Linked DNA regions of Macaca fascicularis. The protein of the gene in region 1 interacts with the protein of each later gene in a pairwise test. Links are inferred from orthologs where the notes say so. Each region holds a gene or a part of one and is shown on either strand. Other genes may lie near its edges.

Region 1 (6,069 bases):
GTTAGGCAGGATGGTCTCGATCTCCTGACCTCATGATCCGCCCGTCTCGGCCTCCCAAAGTACTGGGATTACAGGCTTGAGCCACCGCGCCCGGCTGCCACCCTGACTTCTTAGGTTTTTGGTACTGCTATTCGTTTCATAGATGTTGAGGCTGGGTGTAGTGGCTCACGCCTGTAATTCTAGCCTTTGGGAGGCTGAGGTGATAGGATCACTTGAGCCCAGGGGTTCAAGAACAGCCTGGGCAACATAGTAAGACCCGGTCTGTGTTCTTTAAAAAAAAAAAAAAATTAAATAGTAAAGTAAATACACATGTAGGTGTTGAATTCATTATCCATTCATTACGCTCGCTATTAGTGTTTTATGTGTAGAGCTAGTTTTCCTCATGACATTTTGAGGTATTTTGAGCTTTTAAATTTGAAATTTGGCCAGGTGTGATGGCTCATGCCTGTAGTCCCAGCACTTTGGTAGGTCAAGGTGGGAGGATTGCTTGAGCCCAGGAGTTTGAGACCAGCCTGGGCAACACAGTAAGACCCCATCTCTACCAAAAAACTTAAAAAAAAAATTAGCTGGGGATAGCGCCGAGTGCCTGTAGTCCCAGCAACTTGGGAGACTGAGGTAGGAGGATCACTTGAGCCTGGGACATTGAGACTGTAATGAGCTATGATTATACATCACTCCAGCCCGGGTGACAAAGTGGGAACCTGTCTCACAAAAACAAAACCAAATTTTACCTCATAAAAGTTGCCTCAAACTTTTGGACAGGTAATGATAATACTCTCAGCTTCTTCAACAAGTCGTCTTTGGAGTTTGAAGAATACATTTGCTAGTACTCTAAAACTTACTTGGTGATCAACAGGATGTCTTCATCTCTTACTGTATTCAGAGGAGGATGAGGAGTACTTGGTTGTAGGCATTATTCTGAGACCAAAAGACAAAACAGTTTTAAAAGTAATGTCCTCGTCGGGTGAGGTGGCTCATCCCTGTAATCCCAGCACTATGAGAGGCCGAGTCAGGCAGATGCGAGCCCAGGAGTGCGAGATCAGCCTGCTCAACATGACGAAACCCTGTCTCTACAAAAAATACAAAAATTAGCTATGTGTGGAGGTGTATGCCTATAGTCCCAGCTTCTCAGGAGGCAGCGGTGGGAGGATGGCTTGAGCCTGGGAGGAGGAGGTTGCAGTGAGCTGAGATTGTGCCACTGCACTCCAGCCTGAGCGGCAGAGCGAGACCTTGTCTCAAAGTAAGGAAATTAAAGTAATAGTCCTCATTCTTGAGCCTCTTAATTCTAGCTCGGGAGCTAGACCATGTATTCCTTAGTGATAAACAGTTTAAAAATAAAACAAGAATATAATCCCTGAATATCTGAGAACTCACGCGTAATCTTAACAGACTAGTTTATTGTGAAAGACTTTATGATGATTTTTACCTGTTTTTATCCTGTAGTAGGAAGGTCAGCTTCTCATTTAGATTCTGAAGGCTACTGGTATTAATTGTCTGGAATTGTCTTAGATCTTCCTTGTGTCCTGTTTTCCCAGAAAGAGCTGGGAACCTTTGCTCAAAGCTCCATCGCCCTTCACCATCAGTACAACCCCAAGTTTCAGACCCTGTTCCAACCCTGTAACTTGATGGGAGCTATGCAGCTTATTGAAGACTTCAGCACACATGTCAGCATTGACTGCAGCCCTCATAAAACTGTCAAGAAGACTGGTAGGAGACAGATGTGTCAGCTTTAAGTTTTTACTTGCGGTGAGAGGTGGTGGGAATCTTATCCCATAGATAACTTCCTAGGATACTTGCCTGGGAATGGAGGACACAGGACATTTGTAATTTCTTTCTTCTCTCTTTTATCCTCCCTTTGTACTCATTATCTGAGTTCTAGAATTACATGATAATCTCTGGGCCTGGGTAAGGCATGGAGGCAGTGGACAGTATAGGAATATGGGAGGTAGAGATATGAGGCTCAGTGCTAAGAATTGGACTATAGCAATCTGAGGGATATTAGGAGTCAGATGTAATTAAACTGGGGCCTGGTAAAGATGAAAGTCAGGTGGTAAAGTTTGGTCATGTTTAGCTTTTTACTCTCTTCATTAAGATCAACTAACTTCATTTACCATAATGATTCTATCATAGGTGATGTCTCCATTCTGAATGAAATGTCTTTCAAGTTAGACATGTTAGAGATTGTACATTTGCCATATTCAGTATTTTTTAAAAATTTGCCAGTTTAGATTCTTCTACCTTGCATTGGTTTAATATTTTTTGAGAAAATATTTGCTGTTTGCTTAAGCAAATATTTGCTTCTGATTTGTTTGCTGATTTAGTAAATTACTTGTGGTTTGTTCTGGATTTGGGTTTGTCTTTGGATGCTATTTTAAATCCCGGAGTCTTATCATTAAATTGAATATAGTTGAATTTAAGTGTACTATATCATAGACACAGATCCCAAACTACTTTAATAGCTATGTTAAGTGATACAAAATGGTAATGAAAATGTGATTTAATACCACATTATAGTATTATCTTACACATCTAGTGACCTGTTGCTTTCTTCTGGGGATATAAAAATAACACTTATGGAAGGAGAAATAGGGATATAGTAGTTTTGTCTTTAGAATTGCAGAGGTTCCTGAAAGTGAGAGAATGAGAGAGGGAGAGAGAAATGAATGAGACTTGAATTGTCTCATTCCTTTTATGGTTCTTTTGTTCCCAACCTCAGGAGGAATCTGGGAGAACTTAATGCAAGTTAAGTAAAAATCAAATAAAAGTAAAATTTGGAATACCAGATTTGTGAAGGAGATTAAAGAAGTTGGAATCTTTTTTGTGTGGTTTTTTTTTTTTTTTTTTAAGATGGGGTCTCGCTCTGTCACTCAGGCTGCAGTGCAGTGAGGTGATCTCGGCTCACTACAACCTCTGCCTCCCAAATTCAAACAATTCTCCTGCCTCAGCCTCCGGACTAGCTGGAATTATAGGTGCGTGCAAACATGCCTGGCTAATTTTTGCATTTTTAGTAGAAATGGGGTTTCACTATGTTGGCCAGGCTGGTCTTGAATTCCAGACCTCAGGTGATCCCCCTGCCTCGGCCTCCCAAAGTGCTGGGATTACAGGCATGAGCCAGCATGCCTGGCCTAGAATTTTATCCTGGAAGAAAAAAAGCATTGTTGAAGGTCTATTATCCTTCAAAGATTTAAAGGGGAAAGGAGGTAAAACATTTTTGAGCATACACTATGTGACAGTTATTACTAGGTACTTTTTTTTTGTTTGTTTTTGTTTTTGTTTTTGTTTTTTGAGACGGAGTCTCGCTCTGTCGCCCAGGCTGGAGTGCAGTGGCGCGATCTCGGCTCACTGCAAGCTCCGCCTCCTGGGTTTACGCCATTCTCCTGCCTCAGCCTCCTGAGTAGCTGGGACTACAGGTGCCCGCCACTGCGCCCGGCTAATTTTTTGTATTTTTAGTAGAGACGGGGTTTCACCGTGGTCTCGATCTCCTGACCTTGTGATCCGCCTGCCTCGGCCTCCCAAAGTGCTGGGATTACAGGCGTGAGCCACCGCGCCCGGCCATTACTAGGTACTTTTTAAGTGTTTGTTTTACTTTGTGAATAAAGTGTTACACGTAAGAAAGAGTAAGAGAGGCCAGACTCAGTGGCTCACACCTGTAATCCAGCACTTTGGGAGGCCGAGGCAGTCGGATCACAAGGTCAGGAGATCGAGACCATCCTGTCTACAGTGAAACCCTGTCTCTACTAAAAATACAAAAAATCAGCCAGGCGTGGTGGCAGGCACCTGTTGTCCTAGCTACTCAGAAGGCTGAGGCAGGAGAATGACGTGAACCCGGGAGGCAGAGCTTGCAGTGACCCGAGATTGCGCTACGCACTCCAACCTGGGTGACAGAGCCAGACTCCATCTTTAAAAAAAAAAAAAAGAACAGTCGGGTGCGGTGGCTCAAGCCTGTAATCGGGAGGCCGAGACGGGTGGATCACGAGGTCAGGAGATCGAGACCATCCTGGCTAACACGGTGAAACCCCGTTTCTACTAAAAAATACAAAAAACTAGCCGGGCGAGGTGGCGGGCGCCTGTAGTCCCAGCTACTCGGGAGGCTGAGGCAGGAGAATGGCGTGAACCCGGGAGGCGGAGCTTGCAGTGAGCTGAGATCCGGCCACTGCACTCTAGCCTGGGCGACAGAGCGAGACTCCGTCTCACAAAAAAAAAAAAAAAAAAGAATAAGAGAGTCAACTTTTATAGCCATTGAATGGGACTCCATTTAGACATAATGTTAGTTGAAGAAAGACTGTGGAAACTCTTTGGGGAATGCTAGGCAGATGGGAGGGAAATCCAGTTAGATAAGGACAGCTCTACCTAAATGCAGAAATGCATTCATAGGCTTTTTGAAGCCCTCTTTTTTCCTAGAAGCTGATTTATCCGAGATTTATTTTCTTATAGCCAATGAATTTCCCTGTTTGCCAAAGCAAGTGGCTTGGATCCTGGCCACAAGCAAGGTTTTCATGTACCCAGAGTTACTTCCAGTGTGTTCCCTGAAGGCAAAGAATCCCCAGGATAAGATACTCTTCACCAAGGCTGAGGACAAGTAAGTGTTTACTCTGGGGCATCAAAACGCAGAATATCCCAAGGACAAGACATAGTTCCTTTGAGGAGTTTAGGGGAAGTAAGATTTGTATAATAAAACATGGACACAAAAGACAAAAGGAAGAGCAGTATAGATGAGCAGATTCCTCTAGGACGTGCTTGTTTGTGCCAAATACTGCTTTCTGGGGGATGTCACGCACATTTTTAAATTGTTTTAGACCGGACGTGTTGGCTCCCACCTGTAATCCCAGCACTTTGAAAGGCCAAGGCAGGAGGTTCACTTTTAGTGTTATTTATTTAGAGACAAGATCTTACTCTTTTACCCAGGCTGGAATGCAGTGTTGCAATCACAGCTCACTGCAGCCTTGAACTCCTGGGATCGAGCGATCCTCCTGCTTCAGCCTCCATGGAGTAGCTGGGACCACAGGCGTGTGCCACCATACATGGGTAATTTTTTGTGTACAGGTGAGGGTCTCTGTTGCCCAGGCTGCTCTTGATCTCCTGACCTCAAATGATCCACCCACTCGTGGCCTCCCAAAGTCCTGGGATTACAGGCATGAGCCACCGCGCCCATCTAGATTATGAACATTTGTATGGCTCTTTGTGTGTATTGCCACACTGTTATCAGCAAATATGTATATATGTAACCATGATTATATATGTTATGTTAGAGGATACTATTGGTGCCAGTTTAATTTGTCTGACAGGGTACTTATTATTCATTTTATATTTGTTTTATTAGGATCATTTTCCTTCCCATGTATTCTCTTTGAACTTCCTTTGTATTGTTAATATACAGCTCATCACGATCTGACATTTATTAATGATTTATGACGTTTCTTTTGCTCCTACTTAATTGTGAACTATTTGATTCTTATTCATAGTACTTAATCACTACTCACTAAATACCTGGAATTTTCTACTGAGTAGTCACCAACTTACACAAGAATTAGTTGTCAAAAAAGTAGATTGGCCAGCCATGGCGGCTCACACCTGTAATGCCGGCACTTTGGGAGGCCGAGGCAGGAGGATCGCTTGAGGCCAGGAGTTCAAGATCAGCCTGGGCAACAAAGTGAGAACTGGTCTCTACAAATAATGAAAGAAAACATTAGCTAGGCATGGTAGCAAACATTTATGGCCACAGATACTCAGGAGGCTGAAGTGCGAGAATCAATTGAACCCAGGCATTCAAGGCTGCAATGCACTGTAATCACGCCACTGCTCTCCAGCCTGGACAACAGAGCAAGATCCTGTCTGAAAAAATGAAAAAATAGATTGGGCCACACGCCATGGGCTCATGCTTGTAATCCCAGCACTTTGGGAGGCTGAGACTGGAGAATCGTTTCAGCTTAGGAAGTAGTGGCTGCAGTGGGCTGCAATTGTGCCACTGCACTCCAGCCCAGTTAACAGAGTGAGACCTTGTCTTAAGAAAAAATGAGAAAAAGTAGATTGTAAAATGTGTTAGTCTGGGGAGGCCCTTTAGAAGGAAGG
Region 2 (6,069 bases), on another chromosome or scaffold:
CAAATCTTTCTGAGTCCGTTAAGAGGGTGTCAGTGAGTACTGCCCTGTTTAAAACTTAGGGCTTAGGGCTGTTCTGGACAAATTCAGAACAGAATGACAGACAAGAAAGAACACAACGGGCCGGGTGCAGTGGCTCATGCCTGTAATCCCAGCACTTTGGGAGGCCGAGGCAGGCAGATCACGAGGTCAGGAGATTGAGACCATCCTGGCTAACACGGTGAAACCCAGTCTCTACTAAAGATACAAAAAATTAGCCAGGCGTGGTTGCACACGCTTGCTGTCGCAGCTACTTGGGAGGCTGAGACAGAAGAATCACTTGAATCCAGGAGGCGGAGCTTGTAATGAGCCAAGATCGTGCCACTGCACTACAGCCTGGGCGACAGAGCGAGACTCCGTCTCAAAAAAAAAAAAAAAAAAAAAAAAAAAAAAAAAAAAAAAGAAAGAACACAACATCTTTTCCCAACATCCTGTAGTACTTAAGGCTCAAAGAGAGCTTCTCAGCTCAAATAAATCATACAAAGTCAATTAGAGCATGCCAGGGCAGATGCAAACCTAAACCAATCTCAGTAGAATCGTACCTACCCCTGATGAGACTGTGGATTCATCCTTGGGCAGGAGAGCAACCCAGCTGAGATATGACATACTCTCCGTCTCCAAGGCTGACACGAACTCATCCACAACTGCCCAATACTTCAAAGAGCATGAGCATCTCTGCTATTGTAAGAATTATCACTGCGACACTAAAATTCCTCTCCATAACCACTATGGATGAAGTACTTAAAAAGGTAAAATCACCTAGCCTTCACCCCAGCTTCTAAAGAAGTCAGCATGGCTGTCGGCCCTCAAAAAGATAAAACTAAACCTGAAGCATAGCTGCCAAGACCCTTAAGAAGACACATGACCCACACAGATGCAAAGAAATGCAGTGAGATTTTAAAACATACCACGCAATACAATCTTAAGAAAAGTGAGAAGGTGGATTATACTCGTTATCATAGCATAGCTCCCTTCCCTATTGTAGGGAGGTCCTGGTCTGATCTTTCTGTGTCTACCATTAAACAGCACTGTCCACTGCCCTCTTCTAGAGTCAGGGAATGAGGCTCAGGCAAAGCAGCTTTCAGGGACCATCTGAAGCACACATCAGTCCTCCCCTTCAAAGAATATAGTCAGCCAGGCATGGTGGCTCACATCTGAATCCCAGCACTTTTGGAAGTTGAGGTGGGCAGATTGCATGAGCCCAGGAGACAAAGATTAGTAGATGGTGAGACCCTGTCTCTACAAATAATTCTTTAAAAAATTAGCCAGGCATGGGGATGCATGCCTGTAGTCCTAGCTATGTGGGAGGCTGAGGCAGGAGGATCACTGGAGCCCAGGAGTTTAAGCCTGCAGTGAGCCATGACTGTGCCACTGTACTCTAGCCTGGGTAACAGACTGAGACCCTGACACTACCAAAAAAAATAATAACAATAATAATAATAATAATAATAAAGCAATTGCATTTTTAGCCAAGGCAACACATATCTTCAACTGCCACCATCACTTCCCTCTGCCAAGGATCTTGAAGGCATATGAAGCCATTTCTTTAAGTTTAGGTAGCAAATAAGCTCCACAAAGAGGAGAGGATAGTTACACCTCTAAGGGGCAGAGAAAGAATAAGGGAGGGGAAAAGTTCATGTGTGTGGAAGATGACAGGATCTGTAGCAACGGCAGCTACTGACAGAGCAGAGCACCCTGCAGGGAGTTCCTGGGTGGGTCCTCTAAACACCCACCTGTACTTCAGTGGTTTTTGTCCTCCACTCAGGGACACCATGAATCCACAGCAGTTGTGAACAAGCTACAGCTTTCTTCTGTATCTGCTTCTTCCTGCCTCTCCAATCCTTTATCTCAACATTCCTATTACTTTCTCTCCTTTCTCCACTGTACCTGCCCATTCCCCCGACCCCAAGGTCTGTGATCATTTAAACATATAAGCATCTCATGTAATTAAAAAAAAATCTGACAACACAAATAGATAATAAAAGCCATATTTATCACCTTCCAAGATTCAACTAATGGTACGTTATTTGGTCAAAAGGAGAAACTCTTCTTCATATCCCCAATTTATATCATAACCAATTCAATATCCATGAGGTGAGGATATTGTCAACTTACCCAGGGGATTGGCACCAATAAATACATTCGCAAAGTTCATCTTCGGCATCTGCGTCAAAGACTGAATATAGTTTCTTGCCTGAAAAAACAAGGGTTTTCAGAATTACTTTGTTCAATAATGTTACTTCTCTCAAAGAAAGAACCTTGGTCCTGCTAAGGAACGAGTGTTAACTGACAAAGTCCACTAACTCCAATGTTTATAACTGTCTTTGATAAAACTTCTCCCTTACTGCTATCCTAACTTCCTAGTTATGATCATCACCTTCTTTATTCCTGCTATCTCTCACAGTTGCATTTCAAGTGAACGAGAATACTCATCAATCAAATTCTCTTTCATCAGCTTTCTGATCACAGGATGAGAAGTTTAAAAACTGAGGCCGAGATATGTAAGAAGTAGCCCTTTCTGAGACAGCCTTCTCAAAAAGCTAAAATTGTTAGAAGGGTTGGTATTCCCAAAGTAAGTCTTGGACCAGCAGTCTTTTGATAGTGCTGACTTCAGCAGGTGCTCTTAGCACATCAAAGGACATCAATATTAAACCTTGCTAACAAAGTAACACTGGTAACAAAAAAGTTAATATAAACTTAATATAACAGTCCTACCTCACAGGGTTGGAGTGAAGATTAGAGATAACAAACCTAGTACTTTCTTAACACAGTACTTGGTTCCAAGTGAGAGTTCAAGAAACATTATCTGCTATCCCACTATCACCTTCAGAGAAAAGCAAAGTCTGCTGTCTATCTTAACCACCTTTTTAAAATTTCTGTTTTAATACAGTCCAACAGTAAAGGTATGTATGTATATTTATGTTTACACATACACACACAAGGTTGTAAAAAGTTCTGGTTGCCCAGACACGGTGACTCACGCCTGTAATCCCAGCACTTTGGGAGGCCAAGGAGGGCAGATCACTTGAGCCCAGGGCTTTGAGACCAGCCTGGGTAACATGGTGAAAACTTGTCTCTAAAAACACAAAAAATTAGCCAGGCATGGTGATGCATGCCTGTGGTCCCAGCTACTTGGGAGGCTGAGGTAAGAGGATCACTTGAGCAGGGAGATGGAGCCCAGGAAGCTTGAGCACAGGAGGTGGAGGTTCCAGTGAGCTAAGATTGTGCCACTGCACTCCAGCTGGGGTGACAGAGTGAGATCCTATCTTAAAACAAAACAAAAACAAAAACAAAATCTGGTTGCTTGGGCAAGTTCACCTTATTTATTAAAAAATTTTTTTTAGAGACACAGTCTCTGTTCTGTTGCCTACGCTGGAGATCACTGGCACAATCACAGCTCACTATAGCCTCAAACTTCTGACTCCAGCAACCCTCCTGCCTCAGCTTCCCAAGTAGCTGAGACTGCAGGCGTGTGCTATCATGCCGTAATTTTTAAATTTTTTTGTAGACCTGCAGTATTGCTGTGTTGCCCAGGATGGTCTCAAACTCCTGGGCTCAACTGATCCTACCATCTCAGCTTCCAAAGTGCTGAGAATTGCAGATGCACGCCACCACGCCCAGCCTTCACCTTCTTAATGATTGCATGTGGAGTCAGGAGGAAAGGTCTGCTTTGAAAAGCAACTGAGAATCTTTCTGATTTGAAAAGAAAGTTGTAGGAATTGAATATATAAATGGCTGTAATCCCTTTCTACTTGAACATGTAAATAAAAAGATGAAGGGAAAACAGGTAAGAGACAATTATCTCATTCAGAGAACAGTCATCCCTTTAATAAAGATAAATCAACAGATGACCTGAATATAGCCGAAGTAGAAACAAAGTTGCTGGGAGGGGCTCTCTGTGATGCCAACCCGGTTCCCTAAAATATTAAGGGTATCTTAGAAAGAAAGAAGTGCCCCAATGACCTCTGATAATAAAACAAGAGTTAGACTAAGTAGTTAAGAATAAAGAAGGTACCTAACTGTACCAAAGTGTTTGTATTTATTTTATATTATTTGTGTATTTTCTTTTAAATATAGTATGTATTAGTACTGGATATTTCAGTTTTGTTTTGTTTTGTTTTTAAATAAAGAATTCTCTTTTGGTCATTAAAAAAGTGGATGAATTAGAAAGCATGCTAATGGACTTCAGTTAACTACCCTTCTGATAAAGGTCATGATAGTAGCACACCCTAGCTACAGGCATAGCACCTAGAAAGAAACCGCCTCACGAGCACTAAATTCACAAAACCAAATATAAAAATAACAATTTTCCATCCCCAATCTCACAAGACTGGATGACATTTTATCCCAAAAGTCAACATCCTGCAATAGCACATAGGCAGGCCTCCAGGCACATGCAAGCATCCAGTGATGTTAAAAACTGTTGGTTATACAGTGGCAATAAAATGAGAACGTGGCTTCTCAGTGCGACATCCCTGTACAGTCTCTTTGTTCTCACCTCATGGCTTGGCATCCTGTTAATGAGATAAGCGGGGGGTGTTCCCGTCAGACGCATAATCTGCTGAAGCTGGTTAATATCTTAGATGCCTAGTCAAGGGCATTGTTAAACATACAGTGCAAAAAATAATTTTCAACTCAAGTTTTTAAAAAGGTCAAAAAGCCACCCCTAAACAAACAAAAAAACCTACCCCCCATTCACCCTACCCGAGGACCCAAGGCTGCATGTTAAAGCTTCTGTGAATGACATGAGTCGCTTCTGTGAATGACATGAGTAACTAGGCATGTAGTCAGTGACTGGCCATGCAGATAAGAAAAATTACTTTTCTTTGGTTTTAGCATCATCTTTACTGTTAAATATTTTAGGTTCCCTGGAAACAGACTGCCCCTTGATCCAGGATGCCAGCCAGAGAACTGTTTTCAAGTACTGACGGCCAAAACCTGTTTGTGGGAGAAATATAGATGATTCTAAAATTTTTGACTCAAACTTTGAACAAAATAAAATATCCAACATATCCATTCAAGAAAGAGACTAAACTTTTGCAGCACGGGTTCTCCAAGGCACCATCCCTCCGAATTAAGATACACGTAGGCATCTGGGTTAATAAGCAATGCCACATTTCAAAGATATTATTTAGTGGTACATTTAAAATACTTGCCACAAACACAAAATGGTAAATGAAGAAAGAGGAGACGGGCAGAAGGTTAGAGGCTAATGGCAAAGGCAAAACAGAAGTCACAGGCTGCTGACAGTGTTAAAGCATGCCACATGATTTCCTCCACAAGTCTCTTCAACAAGCGAACAGACTAACCTCACTTAACAAACAGGTGGAGGGAAGTCTGCAAAATACTCTGCAAGTATCTGACAAGGGCAGAACTATGAGATTTTCTATATGTATAGGCACATATGTAAGCTGTACCACAACTTCTCTCTTTTAACTGTTCTATCAATGTTAATACAACTTGCCCTCTTCTAAAATGTAAGAACTGTTTATCATGTTCCTACCAAGAGCAGAAGTGAGGAGATTTTAAAAATCTTCAATGTAATTCAATAAACCCCTTTTGTAGTCCTTTTCTTGTTAACTACTAATTCCCTCATTCAGGTGAAGCATCATCTTCAATAAGCACCATGGCCAAGCAATTTTACTTCTTTGTGGCTTTCCCAAATAATTTTTCTACTTTAGCTCGTCCTCTGAACTGAACTCCCTAGTGGTCAGATGACTTAGCAGTAATCTGTTTAAGGCTGGCCACAGGGAGAGAGCTAGAGCCATGTGCTCCACGCTGCCTTTCACGCTCCCTAAACCCAAAGACAGAGGCCAGTAAATTCCAAAAGAGGTAGTAATTACACTTTGATTTGTGGTCCTTTTAAGAAACGTACCAGATCCATACCAGATGATGGAATTCTTTGTTTTGTTAGGAGTTTAGGAAACAGAATTTAGAGTTACCTTTAACAAATCACATAACAAATGACACTTTTCATGCCAAGGGAAGTAACAAAAAGGGGCCACAAAATAAACCAGCAATAGCAATATACCA

The links. The genes of interacting proteins can lie anywhere in the genome.
Region 2: the proteins of YY1AP1 (region 1) and MAPK14 interact in a two-hybrid assay, tested with the Homo sapiens proteins (2 studies listed by BioGRID and IntAct). The link is inferred for Macaca fascicularis from reciprocal best matches to the Homo sapiens genes YY1AP1 and MAPK14.

What each region holds. Positions count from the first base shown.
Region 1 is NC_088375.1:105,437,580-105,443,648, forward strand, and holds part of YY1AP1 (YY1-associated protein 1), read left to right. Parts: intron 1-1,535; coding exon 1,536-1,707; exon of another isoform or gene 1,708-1,746; intron 1,747-4,434; coding exon 4,435-4,579; intron 4,580-6,069. UniProt on the Homo sapiens protein: Associates with the INO80 chromatin remodeling complex, which is responsible for transcriptional regulation, DNA repair, and replication. Enhances transcription activation by YY1. Plays a role in cell cycle regulation.
Region 2 is NC_088378.1:135,568,686-135,574,754, forward strand, and holds part of MAPK14 (mitogen-activated protein kinase 14), read right to left. Parts: intron 4,615-6,069; coding exon 4,535-4,614; intron 2,231-4,534; coding exon 2,152-2,230; intron 1-2,151. UniProt on the Homo sapiens protein: Serine/threonine kinase which acts as an essential component of the MAP kinase signal transduction pathway.